2 linked regions of the Cricetulus griseus genome follow. The protein of the gene in region 1 purifies or fractionates together with the protein of each later gene. This does not show direct contact. Links are inferred from orthologs where the notes say so. Each region holds a gene or a part of one and is shown on either strand. Other genes may lie near its edges. The genes, in order: Cry1 and Fbxl3.

What was found.
Region 2: the proteins of Cry1 (region 1) and Fbxl3 purify together in Homo sapiens (affinity purification with mass spectrometry; 4 studies listed by BioGRID and IntAct, counting the BioPlex papers as one, with this or other methods). This does not show direct contact. The link is inferred for Cricetulus griseus from reciprocal best matches to the Homo sapiens genes CRY1 and FBXL3.

What each region holds. Positions count from the first base shown.
Region 1 is NW_023276806.1:150,312,000-150,314,873, reverse strand, and holds the end of Cry1 (cryptochrome-1), read right to left. Parts: intron 2,633-2,874; coding exon 2,561-2,632; intron 2,485-2,560; coding exon 2,381-2,484; 3' UTR 2,377-2,380; intron 1,311-2,376; 3' UTR 685-1,310; downstream 1-684.
Region 2 is NW_023276807.1:254,746,592-254,750,420, reverse strand, and holds part of Fbxl3 (F-box/LRR-repeat protein 3), read left to right. Parts: intron 1-1,068; 5' UTR 1,069-1,069; coding exon 1,070-1,417; intron 1,418-3,829. UniProt on the Homo sapiens protein: Substrate-recognition component of the SCF(FBXL3) E3 ubiquitin ligase complex involved in circadian rhythm function. Plays a key role in the maintenance of both the speed and the robustness of the circadian clock oscillation.

The sequences.
Region 1 (2,874 bases):
GTGTGCATATATATTTATGTATATGTGGTGTGTGTGTGTGTGCTACTGAGGATTAGACCCAGGGCCTTACATATTCTGGGCAGATGCTCTCCTACATGAGCCACACCCCTACTATGCGGAGTGTTTGTTACTACTCAGGAGAGGAAAACAAAGAACCGGTGGTTATATTGGTATATATTAGTATAAATGAGGTGACTTTAGTATGAAGGTGCCTAATGGAACCCAGTAGGGAGGGTGACTGGGAGCAGCAGCTAGCCTGTACAACCCAGGGAGCCAGGCTAACATTGATTGGTTGGGCTGTATGCCTTGCAGTACAAATGAATACTTTACATACTATTCTTACTTCCATTTTAAGATGGTAAGATGAAGACAGAAAGGCAAGGTCATGCCCAATATCTCAAAGCTAACAACTGAGAGAAGACAGGCTTTGACTTTGGAACCCATGCTCTTAACTGATGACTCACGCAGCCTAACTTGCAGCAATAAAACCATTAAGTGATACAAACAAATGAGACTCTTTCAGATAACTCTGAAAAATTCCATTTTGCTAGATAAAACCTATTCTTTCATTCAAAATGGTGACATGTGGTTTCTAGTATTTGTCTCTGTAATTTGCATCACATCTCACACAATTCTCTTATCCCAAACAAACAAGATGAAAAAATGAACACCAAGTACACAAGATTCCATATTTGCATAAACTTTAATAACAAAGTCACTTCAGCTATAAATGAACAAAAAATGGGGAGACAAAGAGAACCGAGCACAGCCCAGCAGTGTGAGTGGGAGCAGCTGTACACGCAGCTTTACCAGGCACTGTCCACGCTAACAGAGGCATCGCCTACTCATTGATTCCAGGTGTTTTCTAAAGTGTTACTATCAAACACTGCAGAATTGGTTAAACAATGATGTCAAGAAAAATGTGTCCTAAAATTTTAACAAAGTCTTTTAAGAAAGTCTAAAAACTTCCCATTTTCCTGCAATGACTCTCAAAACTTGAGTTTTATATCAGAATATCTGTTAACTTTAACTTTTACCATACATGAAAAATTATCAAAAATATACTGATGAGTCTATACTAACTGTGACTATATTTACATTAAGCAAACCTTTTGCCAAGTTCTTTATATACAAATTAGCACTTGTCCTATGTGATATTCATTAAAAAGTTAAAAACCACAGAAATGTTATTAGAAATAATATGTTCAAAATCTGTTTTCTGTGAATGAAGGACATTTTTAATAATTTAAATGAAGAGTCCTGACTGGCTCACCAACTTCAGCTGCACCAGAACTCCTCCTTCGTGTTTCCTGTGATTTAAAGGAAAAACCAATGAAAACTTGGCTGTAAGGAGTTAAATAATAAAAAACTGATACGCATTTACTGATTTTAACTTCAAGAAATTCATAATTAGGTGACATAAAAAACTAGGTGATAATGTAAACAGTTTCCAATAACCAAAAATATGAAAAATAATCTTTAAAAACTGGCAAAAGTAGGCCACCAGAGAGACGGCTCAGAAGTTAAGAACACTGGCTGCTCTTCTAGATGTCCTCAGTTCAATTCCCAGCAACAACATGGTGGCTCATAACCATCTGCAATAAAATCTGGTGCCCTCTTCTGGCCTGCAGGGATATGTGCAGGCAGAATACTGCATACATAATAAATAAATAAATAAATAAATAAATAAATAAATAAATAAGCTGGCAAAAGTAGCTAGTAAATACTTTCCTTATTAGGTCACAAAATAGTATCACAAATTCAATTAAATTGGATGTAGACACAATTTCTGATACTTCTAAAAAGGCCCAGCATTGCTTAAAAATTAATGACTTAGGTTTTGGAAGCAGCACAGCAGAGAAGATAATGCATGACCTGAGCATATGGTACGTTTGTGCAATCCTAGCCTTCAGGAAAATGACACAGAAGGACCACTGCAAGTATGAGGCTAGCCTGGACCACTGCAAGTATGACACTAGCCTGTGTATGAGTTCAAGGGTAGCCTGCACTATACAGAGACCATGTCTCAAACCCCTTCTCTCCTTAATTATCAATACTTAAGTAAAGGTTTGAGGTGAAGGTTTTAGAGGAATTATATTAAAGTTTTTGAAATTAGGAGGCTCCTTTGTTTTAGGCTCACAGTCATATCTTATGAAAACCTTGTCTTCCTCAAAACCAAAGCTTTTCAGGGTGAAAGACTGGATTCAGGGAGCATGGTTCTGGGTGCAGTGTTCTGCCCAATACAGGAGCGTCTCTCCTGTTCATTCATGAACAGGGTCTATGACAACTGCTTATATGCCAGAGAATAGAACAGTCCTCATTAGTTATTTCAGGTTAGTTCTATACTAAAGCAGGAGAGAAAACCTAAGTATTTACCATGTCAGTTACTGCTCTGCCGCTGGACTTTGGGATCAACACTCCGTGTCTCCTCTTCCTGACTGGGGCGCTTCCCGCTGCTGAGGCTGGTGCCCATGGAGCTTCTTCCTACACATTTACAAATGCACGTGTGAGGTGGGGCCAGGAGGGGGCGCAGTGATCTTGAGTGCTTGCTTCCCCTTACCTTGCTTTAGCAGGTGAGCTTGCTGACTGTCTCCATGAGCATAATGTAAAATACCACTTCCTTGAGAGCAACCTGTATTTCAAACAAAAGAAAATGACTTAAAAACTTAAGATGTATACATTAGGACTATAAAACCTGTTTTTTTTATAAGTATTTGTATTTAACTTTTCTTAATCTTAACTCTGAGCCAAAGATCACAATCTCAAAATCAAGAAAACTTTAAGTTCAGGCTGACCAGTGACAGACAAGGCAAAACCACTGGTTGTATTTCATTTCTATTTTGTGTGTAGTCTTTACATGTATGTATTTTTGTG
Region 2 (3,829 bases), on another chromosome or scaffold:
GGAGGCGGCAGTCACCCTTTTCTACTGAGTTGTGTGATGGCTTTCATTCTGGGCTGTTTTTCTAAACAGGAAATCAATTGGCTCTCCTTTCAAAAGCCCTAATACTTCATTCCACACAAGAACCCTGTATCTTTTTTTGGTTTTTCGAGTTTCTCTGTATTTTGGAGCCTGTCCTCGAACTCCCAGAGATCCGCCTGCTGGGATTAAAGGTGTGTGCCACCAATGCCCAGCAAGAACCCTGTATCTTAAGGTCACCGTTTTACAAACAGGAACATCTGACAGTCTTGTCATTTACCCAAAGCCATACAACTAGTGAGAAGGGGAGCAGAGACTCAAACTCAGGAAGCTTGGTCTTAGAGCTTCTAGTCCCATTGGCTACGAGAGCAGATCATCTTTTCAAGAAGCAAATGGAATGAAGTGTGTAATGTAGAAAACACATGGAAGTGTTATTCAGGAAAAAAGGAAAAGACAGGGAGAGCAGAGTGACAATAATGAGTTGAGGGAAGAAACCACATTCCAGCTGAAACAGTGCAGTCAAGGTGGATTGCCTTAATTATTTAATCTGTTTTATGCTGTTCCAGGTTGAGCACAGGCCTGGAGTGGTTCGGGCAAGGTCTTTAACATTGGGTTATGCTCTAGCCCAAGTTTGGACATATGCAGCCGTACTGGCACTTGTCACAGCTATTTATTCAGTGTAGATCTGTTGACTACTTACCTTTCTTTCATCCTCTCTAGAGGTTCATAGGCACCTTGATCGACTTGACATTTAAGAACTCAAATATAGTTATCCTTGGGTGACTGACGAAATTGGAAAGTATCACTATAGGCTCTTTTCTAGTCACTTTCAGTATTGAGTACAACTCTTGAATCATATATCTGTGGTTTTCTTAGGTCATAAGTAGTGGTTGAAATCACCTCTCTCTATTTTTATATTCTCCTTGAATCATTGATTCAGTTCTGTGTGTATTTCTGTTAACTCTCCAAATGCAAATAGGTCTCAGTGACAGAAAATGAATTTGTGATTAAAAGCTAAGTAGGATGGGAAAAATGACGGATTTTTCTAAATAGGATGAAACGAGGAGGAAGAGATAGTGACCTTGACTCACCTGAAGAAGGCACTGCAGAGAAACGTAAGAAACTGAGGACTGCACATGAGTGTTCTCAACCTTGTGATTGGGGTAATCTGCTGCAGGACATTATTCTCCAGGTGTTTAAGTACTTGCCTCTGCTTGATCGGGCTCATGCTTCCCAAGTGTGCCGGAATTGGAATCAGGTGTTTCACATGCCTGACTTGTGGAGATGTTTTGAATTTGAGCTGAATCAGCCAGCTACATCTTACTTGAAAGCTACACATCCAGAGCTGATCAAACAGATTATTAAAAGGCATTCAAACCATCTGCAGTATGTCAGCTTCAAGGTAATACTTTAACTCCTTCTGTTAAAAATAAAGCATTTTTAGAGGCTTTAATGTTCTAACCAATACAACTTCTTATGTCTATAAAATATTTGACTCTATAGGGAAAGTGCTTAAAGTTTTGAAATTATTGCACACCTTAGAAGCCATTGCAAACATTTTTTAATATTCGATAGAACTAAAATACTCCTTTACAATTAATTACTTAAAAGAACAAAAGCAGTCACTAAGTGAGCATGAATTGACTGAAGTTTTAAGTTAACAGCGAATGGTTAACAACAAATTTGAGGAAAGAGCAATGTATCATTAACATTAAGGCAGTGGTTCTCAGTCTCTGGGTTTTGACCTCTTTGGGGGGGGGGTCATATCAGATATCCTGCTTATCGATACATACATTACAACTCATAACAGTATCAAAGTTACAGTTATGAAATAGCAATGAAATAATTTTATGGTTTGAGGTCACCACAACATGAGACAGTATTACAAAAGTTAGGAACCACTACATTGGGGAATGATTACTGAGCAGAACTTACTTGGCTATTTTATCTGCTTTTGTTTCATTTTGTTTTTCAAGACAGGGTCTCTTGGTGTAGCTCTGGCTGTCCTAGAACTCACTCTGTAGACCAGACTGGCCTCGAACTCTGAGATCTACCTGCCTCTGCCTTCGGAGTGCTGGGATTAAAGGCATTCGCCACCACCACCCAGCAAGTGTTTCTTATTTTGATATGTTTTCATTTTAAAAAAGAAAAAAAAAAAGCCCTAAATCTAAAGATGGTATAGAATCGAACTTTTCAACTTGAGTGTATTTTAGAGGGAAACGGAAGAGGGGGATTGCTTCATTTCAGTGTTACAAGGGGCGAGTAAGAGCACGTGTAATGGTGAGATGAGAGAGAGCATGTGTCATGCTGAGATGAGTGAAGGAAGGTGGTATTTGGAGATTTGAAGAGTGTTATATGAAATCATAGGAGCTTGTGTGAGAACAAGGGTTTATCATGTTGTATTTTGGGATGCTCACTGAATCCTTGATACTAAATTTTTCTTTAACAATTAGCGTTAAAAGATGAAAATGTGCCGGGCATGGTGACTCTCACATGTAACTTTAGGACTGGGGAGGCTGAGGCAAGAGAATCAACTATTTGAGGCCTCCCTGGGCTGTATATAGTAAGGCCTTCTCTCTTAAAAATGTTAAAAACAGCCGGGTAGTGGTGGCACACACCTTTAAGCCCAGCACTTGGGAGGCGGAGGCAGGCAGATCTCCATGAATTTGAGGTCAGCCTGGTCTACAAAGTGAATTCCAGGACAGCTAGGACTGTTATACAGAGAAACCCTGTCTTGAAAAACAAACAAACAAAAAAACGTTAAAAACAAAACCCAAAAAAGTAAAAGCATAGAATTGCCTGTCATTGCCTGACTTGCCTTTGTTTCCTGTTTGCTAAAGGAATTGGGTTAAATCTGTAGTAAGCAGTGGTCTTCACCTAGACCTTTATGCTGTTACTAAATACTATCTGTCTTCTGGTAAGATAGGAGAACTTGTAATAGAAGTGATTTGAGTAGATTGTAAAAGGTCCTTCTGTATAGTAGGCTGCCTGGGTCCTTGGTGTTTAGTCCTTATAGTCACTTACAGTCCAGTGATAGAGCTCAGGTACATCCAACTTATGGAACTCATTTGTACTTAAATTACTTTTTGTCAGGGATGTATTTTGCCATTTCTGATTTAGAAAGCAGGGACACAGCAGGGATTATTCTGGCCTCTCCTGATAATAGTTAAGTGGTCACTGTAAACTCAAGAAAACTTTAAGCCAAAACAGTGCTCCTCAGACTGTGCTCAGTAGCCTCACCAAGGCGGGTGTAAAGGCAGAGCTTGCGCCTCCCACTCACCGACTTTATAATTCAGATGGTTTGGTTTAGGATAAGAATTTGCTTGTATCCAGTATCCAGATCATTGTCATGTGGTTTGGGAACCTCATTTTGAGAGCTGTGATTAGTGCATTGTTTGCCCACATGATAGCAACTTAAGAGCTCCTTTGGCATGCAATAAAACACACATTTACTTGGGAATGAAAGTTACGGTATTTAACATTTGTAGTCTAGAGATAAACTAACTTTTACCCTTCAGGTGTGGGTGTTTGATTGTATTGTCCTTTACTTCGGGGAACTAAGCAGCAACCTCTATTTTGGTTCAGTTTATTTTGTGCTTGTTTAATTGGACACTCTTACTTTTCTCTAATGCATCTTTCAATTCAGAACACTGAGCAATGTCAGGTTATGTGGTTCATCTGAAAATTCTAAATGACATTAGTGTCTTCAGGTGTCCTGAAACGTAGACACTATTTACATGTGTTGTTTGATTTACTCAAGTACCAATTACCACCTAAAGATGAAATTGATTCATTTTGTACAGTTACTTGAAAT